Oryzias latipes: one gene and its partners. The protein of the gene in region 1 purifies or fractionates together with the protein of each later gene. This does not show direct contact. Links are inferred from orthologs where the notes say so. Each region holds a gene or a part of one and is shown in the gene's direction. Other genes may lie near its edges. The genes, in order: pold3, pold1 and sprtn.

Evidence for each region.
Region 2: the proteins of pold3 (region 1) and pold1 purify together in Homo sapiens (co-immunoprecipitation; 8 studies listed by BioGRID and IntAct, with this or other methods). This does not show direct contact. The link is inferred for Oryzias latipes from reciprocal best matches to the Homo sapiens genes POLD3 and POLD1.
Region 3: the proteins of pold3 (region 1) and sprtn purify together in Homo sapiens (affinity purification with mass spectrometry; 3 studies listed by BioGRID, with this or other methods). This does not show direct contact. The link is inferred for Oryzias latipes from reciprocal best matches to the Homo sapiens genes POLD3 and SPRTN.

What each region holds. Positions count from the first base shown.
Region 1 is NC_019875.2:1,858,880-1,861,818, reverse strand, and holds the end of pold3 (DNA polymerase delta subunit 3), read left to right. Parts: intron 1-171; coding exon 172-313; intron 314-395; coding exon 396-499; intron 500-1,383; coding exon 1,384-1,469; intron 1,470-1,542; coding exon 1,543-1,621; intron 1,622-1,909; coding exon 1,910-2,115; 3' UTR 2,116-2,286; downstream 2,287-2,939. UniProt on the Homo sapiens protein: Accessory component of both the DNA polymerase delta complex and the DNA polymerase zeta complex.
Region 2 is NC_019866.2:14,475,489-14,479,148, reverse strand, and holds part of pold1 (DNA polymerase delta catalytic subunit), read left to right. Parts: intron 1-813; coding exon 814-927; intron 928-1,010; coding exon 1,011-1,158; intron 1,159-1,583; coding exon 1,584-1,679; intron 1,680-1,778; coding exon 1,779-1,916; intron 1,917-2,419; coding exon 2,420-2,595; intron 2,596-2,713; coding exon 2,714-2,866; intron 2,867-3,311; coding exon 3,312-3,414; intron 3,415-3,498; coding exon 3,499-3,631; intron 3,632-3,660. UniProt on the Homo sapiens protein: As the catalytic component of the trimeric (Pol-delta3 complex) and tetrameric DNA polymerase delta complexes (Pol-delta4 complex), plays a crucial role in high fidelity genome replication, including in lagging strand synthesis, and repair.
Region 3 is NC_019882.2:17,531,958-17,534,380, forward strand, and holds part of sprtn (sprT-like domain-containing protein Spartan), read left to right. Parts: intron 1-848; coding exon 849-977; intron 978-1,056; coding exon 1,057-1,327; intron 1,328-2,423. UniProt on the Homo sapiens protein: DNA-dependent metalloendopeptidase that mediates the proteolytic cleavage of covalent DNA-protein cross-links (DPCs) during DNA synthesis, thereby playing a key role in maintaining genomic integrity.

The sequences.
Region 1 (2,939 bases):
ATTACTAACCAAATCCTATTTCCAGCTTCCGTTTAGTGTGTCGACATCAGAAAATTCCATATCTTGCATTTAAATCTTCTTAGTCTTTACCTCAAGTTGAGGTTCACCAAACGCTGCTCATGTTCACACAGGAAATGGCATTTTTAGACTAAAGGTTCTTCATTTCGACAGAAAAATCAGTCAAAGCCGTGAAGGAGGAAGCAGATCAGACGTCTTCCACATCTGAGCCGCCGCCGCCGCCGCAGCGTAAAAGTCCTCAACCCTGTGAAAAGTTTGACGGTGCAGCAGTGCAGACCCAAAAAGACCCCAGAAGGTGTGTTTACCCCTGACCTGCAAAAAACACTCCAGCTTTTCCTTTTGCTTGATGGGAATGTGCTGCCTTATTCCCTCCACAGCAAAACCAAGAGAGCGGAAGACGAAGACAGTGAAGAGGACAAGATGGACAAGAAGAAGAGGCGGAGGATTAAGAAACCAGAACCAGACAGCAGTGATGAAGAAGGTCTTTTAATGCTCTTTTGATTGATCAGTTTATGCTGAGAAATGAGGAATAATTAAATGAAGATTCTCAGTTTGTCAGAGAAAACTGACATTTTTCTCTTTTCAGTTTATTGTTAAAACGGAGAGATAACATTTATGAGAATAAAGTTGTGAAATTATGGGAAAAATGTGCAATTTTACAATAGTAATCGTGAAATAATGAGGAAAAGTGCTAATATTACGTAAGTGGGTACTACCACTTTTGGTTTCACAAATAAGGAAATGTTAAGTCCAGTCAATATTGTTTTATTAGAAGGATATTGAAAAGAATTTCCAGGACCCTGAAAGATTCTGACCCAAAAGGAGTGGATTTGGCTGTGGCAGTGTTTGCAGAGGTCCAAGCGGATTGTGGCACCTAGATACCAATGTTTAAGCCTTATGGCATCACCATGAACGTCTGCATTTAGTCACGTAATGTGGATTCAGGCTTACACAACCAAGGTCTGCCGTTTTCCTTTTTCTTTTCTTCATAATTTTACAACCCTATTTTTGTGAATATTCCTTCTTTTCTCATACTTTTATGAGTTTATTCTCATGTATGTTTTTTTGTCTTTCATGGCCAAAATACTCCTTTGAATTTCAGTGAAAGTTAAAAACTGACAGGTTTTCTCAACTCTTTCAAATCTGAGACTTTTTAACCTGTTCTGGAAAAACTCCTCCAGTCAGTCGAGTTGTGATCTCAGCTGATCAATGTAACTTCATTTTGGTGTCTGTTTATCCATTTCAGGTGTCATTTATTTGCTCTTTGAATGTTTAGGTCCTTTAAGAAAATAGCACCTTGTATAAACTTCTAGTTAATTTTTTTCTAAAACCTGGGCTCTGTTTCTGTTTCTGTTTTATTTACAGTCGTTCCGGATTCCCCACAGCCCCAAGAGACTCTAACTAGAGAGAGAAGTCCTAAAAAAGAAACGGAAACTGTTCAGCCGTCAAATGTGAGTGACTTCTTAGTTTAAAATTCAAATGATGAGTTGCTTAGGTTCATATAAATGAACCTTTATATTGCAGGGTCACTCTGGGGCGAAGGTGAGGAAGAGGAGACGGGTCCTGAAGTCTCGCACATATCTGGACGCTGATGGGTGTATGGGTATGAAAAAGCAATCATTATTACTATTATAATCACAGTTTCCTCAGAAATATGACTTTATAATTCTTTGCAAATTCAACACACATTTTTTTTCCATCATCTTTTATTGTCTTCATAGTTCAAAGGTGAAAGTTTTCTTTTCCAAAGCTCAGATATGAGTCCTCAAAGTAAATTCTTCATTTGTATTGTCTAAATGATTTTAAGGTTCATTAAAAATGACAAACACAGTTTTAAACCTTTTAAACGCCATAGATTTTTTTACTGAATATTTTTTCTTTTTTTTTACAGTCACAGAAAAAGGCTTTGAGAGTGAATCGTACTCTGAATCCGAGGAGGATTTCCAAGCCCCCAAAGCGGCTCAGACGGCGCCGTTTAAGGCCAAACCAAACCCGGGGAGCAAAGAGGACGACAAGAAAATTCAGAAAAAAGCTCCGGCCAACTCCAACAAAGGAGGAAAACAAGCTTCTATTATGGGATTTTTTCAGAAGAAGTGAGAACATTTGCCCAGATCCGCTGGAGGAGGTCAGTTTTGTTGGTGTGGACTCACTGCTCACACATGGACAGTTTGAAAAACAAAACAAAGCCTGGAAAACCATTTTTATATCCTTTCTGTCTCCTGCTGTAAACACACGGGATAATCAATAAACTCTGAAAATATTGTGTGAGCATGCGTCTTCTTATTTTTAATCCACATTAGAAAGTAGAGAACTTTACAAACGGTTCCTGTGCTGTGGACCAGTCAGACAGGAGGACTTTTGGTTCATTCACACACTTTTGAAAATCAAACCTGGGAGACAGACAGGGTCATTTGTAGCCCCGGTGTTACTGGTTTTTAAAACAGTAATCTTGATGTTGAAGATGGGAAGTGAAGCAGAGGACTCATACCAGCAGGAGGAACACGTGGCACACCTGCAGCTAACGTGAACACCTCCTCCAAGGTCACGGCGCTGTCATCTTCTAAAAGTATAGAAAAAAAATGACCTTTATTAAATTTAGGATGATTTTTATCACGTTTTACGCTTTTATGATACCATTTCACATTTTCACAAATCAGGTAAAGGTTTCACAAATCAGAAACTGTTTAATGTATTTTTTACTATCTAAATCAAAATTGAATCCAGGTTTAAGCAGTCTAGGTCCAGAGGTTTTTCAATAGGACCTGGTCTGAGGTGGACTCGGTTCATAAAATGCTATAAAAATCATCCTATTTCACATTTTCACAAATCAGGTAAAGGTTTCACAAATCAGAAACTGTGTTTAATGCATTCTTTAGAATCTAAATCAAAACTTTAATCCAGGTTTAAGCAGTCTAGGTCCA
Region 2 (3,660 bases), on another chromosome or scaffold:
CTTACACAGTACTTACTCTAGATTTTGTGTAGGAAACATTCAGATGTGAAATAGATGTTCCTTTAACCCAAAACTGTCAGAGTGGAAGCTAAAAAAATCAGACACCAACTTAAGGCTCATCTAACTTTGAAGGATGAATAAGAAAAAAGGCACTAAAACTGGTATTTTCTTAATGTAATAATAAGCGTGAGTCCATCGTTGGAGCAACTTTTTAGCTACATCCTCGTAACAAGAGGGAGTCTGTATTATAATAATAATAATTATTATTATTATTATTATTATTATAGTGAATGGGAACAACTGTCGCAGCAAATCTATATTTGGAGTAAATAGTTGTTGTGGATTTTGTCTGTTAAATGCAACTTTCTTTTATTTTGAAGTCAAAGATTTTTCTTCTGTTTCCTCACTGGCTTTTTTTTTTTTTTTTCCAGAAAGAAACTTTCTAAATACGTTTGTTTTCGTCAACTTTGCTAGCTTGGGAGGTTTCAATTTAGCGGCCGGTGCAACTGTTTTAAGAAAGTAGTGAATGTATTTTCATCATGTAACCGAGCAACTCAACATGTGCCAAGAATGTCGTTTTTCAAAATAAAAGTTCAGAATCGGATGATAAATTAAAAAGGATCAAATGTTGGTTTATGTTCCAACACAACCAACATTTTTGGCGTGTCCCACAGACGGGTACTTGTCCATCGCCTGGTGGTTAGTGACCACTGATTTAGATGATTAACACTGGAGACATTTTATTTCTTTGTTTGGGGAAATAAACATGGTTTCCAAAAGCTTTGTTTCTGACTTTAATGACTGTGTTTGCAGGTTGTCATCTGAGGATTTCATCAAGACCCCAACAGGTGACCAATTTGTGAAAAGTTCTGTGAGGAAGGGACTTCTTCCGGAAATCCTGGAGAACCTGCTGTCTGCCAGAAAGAGGTTGGGTTTACAGAAAGTAAAAATCCACACCAAACACATGAGCCATGTTGGGTCTTCATCGTGATTTTCCAATGTGTCCGCAGGGCCAAAGCAGAGTTAAAGAAGGAAACCGACCCTTTTAAGAAGCAGGTGCTGGATGGCCGACAGCTGGCCCTAAAAATCAGTGCCAACTCTGTTTATGGCTTCACAGGGGCTCAGGTGGGCAAACTGCCCTGCTTAGAAATCTCACAGGTGAGCACTTTAGTGTAGATGACCAGGTAGCGCTAAAGAATTTTATTTTGACAGGTCAAATGCAGTTTCTCCGATGGTCCTTCCACATGTGTCTCTGTCAGTCGGTGGGCTGCCCCAGTTTAGGTTTTTGTGTGGTGTGCACAAATGTAGAGCATGAAAGGTTCACACAAAACTTAAAGGGAAAATATGTTGCAAAAGGAAACCACAAAGCAGCTGAAACAGTTGGGGCGAAATTTAAAAGTATTGTTGTTTATCTGATTGTCGTAAGGTAAAATACATTTATTCTTAACTTATGATCTTGGTTATTTACTTAACGGTTGCTCTCAAAGAAAGCCATTGTTTTGTCGCTCTTGTATGAATTCTTGACTCTTCAGTCAAGATAAATCTGTCGATTCATCAGTTAATGGATTCTGTTTTGTGTCCAGAGCGTCACCGGATTTGGAAGGCAAATGATCGAACGAACTAAACAGCTCGTCGAGTCCAAATACACCATTTCTAATGGTTATCAAGCTGATGCCAAGGTGAGGAATGTGTGGCTGAACCAGCTCGACTTCCCCATGTACCAGATCTTTTTTAATGCAAGTCAAACCTCCTAACATGCTTTAATTTTGAACGCTCAGGTGATTTACGGAGACACAGACTCCGTCATGGTCAAGCTCGGAGTCGCAACGGTCAAGGAGGCCATGGAAATCGGGAGGGAAGCGGCTGAGTGGGTCTCCTCCCACTTTACACCCCCCATCAAACTGGAGTTTGAGAAGGTGACGTTTCATTCCAGGCATGGTTTTATGAATGTTTATCTTTTCCATACATCTATGTGGACGTCCCATTTTGATTGCAGTCATGCAGATTTTAGTTTTCTTCTTTAGATACATATTGATCTACTCTAAATATTTTAGATTAAATAGATTTCTTTAAATAGATTCCACCCTGATTATGGGTTTCAAACTTGCATTTGAATGTTTTTTGCTGAATATTACAGCATTGGGAAATTGCTGTAATAATAATTATAATAATAATTGCTGGATCTTGTCCAAAGCTGACCAGGTTTTCTTGCAGTTCTCATCTTCCCATTCATAACATTTGCAAAATTATTGTTCCCATCGCAAACTGAATGCATTTCAATCTGCCTTCCATTCATTTGATATTGTTTGTAGATATTTTCATCAGTATGTTGTTTTGTATAACCTTTTTGGAAACTCTTGGGAATATATTTAAGGTGTAGTAGCAGCCTAGAAGACTTTTCTTTTGAATGTTCTCACAGGTTTACTACCCGTACCTGCTGATCAATAAGAAGCGCTACGCAGGACTCTATTTCTCCTCAAGCGCGGACACGCATGACAAGATGGACTGCAAAGGCATCGAGACGGTCCGCAGAGACAACTGTCCTCTGGTGGCCAACCTAATCAACACCTGTCTGCAGAAGATCCTGATCGACAGGTACACACCTGCTTCCATCTCTTAACTGCTGGAAATACTCGGAATGTTAAGCTCATGACATGCAGTGAATGCCAGATTCTTTGTATTTGACTGAAATCTGTGGTTTTGTTGTCTTTAGAGACCCTCAAGGTGCTGTTGATCATGCCAAAGAAGTCATTTCTGACCTGCTCTGCAATCGTATTGACATCAGCCAGCTGGTCATCACCAAAGAGCTGACGCGCACGGCTCAGGAGTACGCCGGCAAACAAGCCCACGTGGAGCTGGCAGAAAGGTCTTCCTCTCAATCCGTTTCTAACATTTCCTTGTGGCATTTTTCTTATGGGGGACATATTTGAAGAGAATGAAGCCTAAAACCACATTTTTGAGTATTTCTTTATTCAGATCGATGTGAATAAGGAGTATTTGTTGTGTAAAAAATACACAACAAATACTCCTAGGCCACAACCTCCCTGCTTCGCTTCATTCCAAATACATCCACTTGCAGACGATTAGACCCGCATACGTTTTCTCACAATTTATAATGAACTACTGCCGCTCTGGAGAAACTATGTCTGAGAAGAAAAAAAAACTATGTCTGAAAAAATTACACAGGACTTTGGATTTTGGCTAAAAACGCCATAACCATACTTGAAAGAGCACTGGAAACGCTCAGAGTGGGACTTTAATGAATTTTGTCAAATCTCTGAAATTCCCCTTTTAATGTCGATGTTTGACAGAATGAGGAAAAGAGACGCAGGCAGCGCGCCAAACCTGGGAGATCGAGTGCCGTACGTCATCATCAAAGCCGCGAAAGGCGCCGCAGCATACATGAAGTCAGAGGTGCGTGGCGTCTTTGACCTGCAACGTTTTCTTTTCTTTCCCTCTCACTTTTGCCGTAAATAACCATTCCTGATGGCGCTTTAGGACCCGATCTACGTGCTTGAGAACACTATTCCCATCGACACACAGTACTACCTGGAACAGCAGCTGTCCAAACCGCTACTGAGAATATTTGAGCCCATCCTCGGGGAGAGCAAGGCAGAGAGCGTCCTGCTAAGTATCTACACCTTCTCATTACTTAACCTT
Region 3 (2,423 bases), on another chromosome or scaffold:
GGAAGTACCTGCTGGCTCCAAGGAGACAAAATCCCAGTCATTCCATTGGTCAGAATAACCTTTCATGATAGGATTCCTTTTTTAACATTATCTTCATAACCCCTTTTTTCTGTTTTTTAGTGCAAATAATTACAATTATAAACTGGTGCCAAAATAAAATGGTCATGTGTCGTACGTTTGAAACATTTGATTGACAGGTTTTGTGTAGCCGGCTTTCAAGCAGTAGGGGTGTGGAGCTTCAGCAACCTCACTCCTGATTGGCCAGAGCAACTGCCATGGAGACGTCAACTCAGACCAACTTGAACCAATCACTGCTTACTGATGTCGTCTGGCTCCAACATGGCGGCGCAAAAATATGGCGACTGAATTGACTCCATTTGGTTGGAGCTGGAAGTAAACCATGAGTGACGTCACACTCAGTCAGTCCAGTTCTGAAAAGTATATATACACAATATTACAAAAGGAGGAATAAAAACGTAAATACAGAGTTTTTTTGTGCAACAGACTAACATTTGGCTGAAAATTAAAAGTATTTAGCCACGGCAAAACCATCAACCACTAAAAAACTGTTTGGTTTGTGGATGAAAAGGAAAAATGATGTTTCTGTGGTTTGAGAAAAGACTCCACTCTGGACCCTGTTATCGAATTTTTTAACCAGGCTAAAAAACCTTTTCTGTGCAAACAAAAGCTTTAACCCAGTTAATTATTTTCTTTTAATTCGAAAACCATTCTTTGTGCATATTTGAACTCAAGATCCAAAAGCTGATTTTTTTTATTCAGATTAGTTACTTGCTGCACTGAGCTGACCCTGTTTGCTGTGTTTGCACTAAAGATGCTTGTTTCTGCAGACTCTCCTCCATGAAATGATTCACGCCCTCCTGTTTGTGACCCAAAACAACCGAGACCGAGACGGCCACGGGCCAGAGTTCTGTAAACACATGAATCGTATCAACCAGGCCAGTGGGACCAAGATTACGGTGAGTTTTCCAGCACTTTCAATAGGCTCTGAATGCTCTCTAGAGAATGTTAGGAAATGTCTGCTCTGCTCCCCTTCAGGTCTACCACAGCTTCCACGACGAGGTCGACGTGTACCGGCAGCACTGGTGGCGATGTGACGGACCGTGTCAGAACCGCAGGCCCTACTTCGGCTACGTAAAGAGAGCCATGAACCGAGCTCCTTCCTCCCTGGACCCTTGGTGGGAGGATCACCGGAGGACGTGTGGGGGGACGTACACCAAAATCAAAGAACCCGATGGCTATGGCAAAAAGGGCAAGAAGGACGGGAAGAAGTCTTTAGGAACTAGTAAAACCTCAAACACGGCTAAAGGTAAAGAAACGTGTTTTAACGTATTAAACAGAAGCAGCTTTCTCCTGTTGTTTAGACCTTTATCACTGGAGCTGTCGCCGGTGACTCCTAAATAACAAACGCTCCATGAGATACCGGAACCGTTTGACCGGTTAAGCAATCAACTGGAGTCAGCGGATTCTTGCAGCTTTTCCTATCGTAAAGTGTTGCATTGCAGCACAAAGCCTCATCCTCAAGCCTGACTCAATCAGAGGGAATTATGTTTACTACGTCAACAGAAGTTTGAAGAGCGTGTTTTATCTTCTGTCACCGACAACAGCTCTGGTATGAACCCTTCAAAGACCCACTCTGATGAAAATTGTGGGCTTTTTTTTGTGGGCGGCCGTGGTGCAGCGGTAGGGCGGTCAACCCATGATCGTAAGATTGCAGGCCTTGAACACCCATGTGTCGAAGCGTCCTTGGGCAAGACACTAAATCCCACCATGCCTCTGGTGGGAGGTTGGCGCCAGTGTTCAGCAGCGGAGCCACTATCAGTGTGTGAATGTGTGTGTGACTGTAAAGCGCTTTGGGCCTTCGAAAGAGGATAGAAAGCGCTATAAGTATACGCCATTGACCATGTTTTTAACATAAAAAGCTACCTGCTCTGCTCCATTCTGATGCATCCACTGTCAGACAAATAGATCCATGGACGTCTTTGTTTTGATCATCCGAACTGGAATCTGAATCCAAACTGTACGTCTGCATAGCTCTGATATTGCTCGCCATTTTTGTTGCACCGCTAATGTTAGGTTGGGATTGTGAGAGGCTGTAAGCTAGCAGTTGAGCATGTGATGGGAACTAGGGACAGGTTTACTGCTGCTGCTCTGGAGAAATTGTCCTAGAAAACAACACCCTTATTTTGATTTTGGCTAAAAAACTGCATAATTATTATCAAAAGACCACTTTTAGAATAGATCAAACGATAATCAGAGTGGGAATCTAAGCTGTGCAATGTGGATTTTCAAAGATTTTCAAAAAAAATTTCCCTCCATCTTCAGAATCCGCTGAATCCCTTTGTGTGTCACGAGGTTGCTGGAGCCTACTCTGCTACAGTCGGGCAAAGGCAGGGAACACCCTG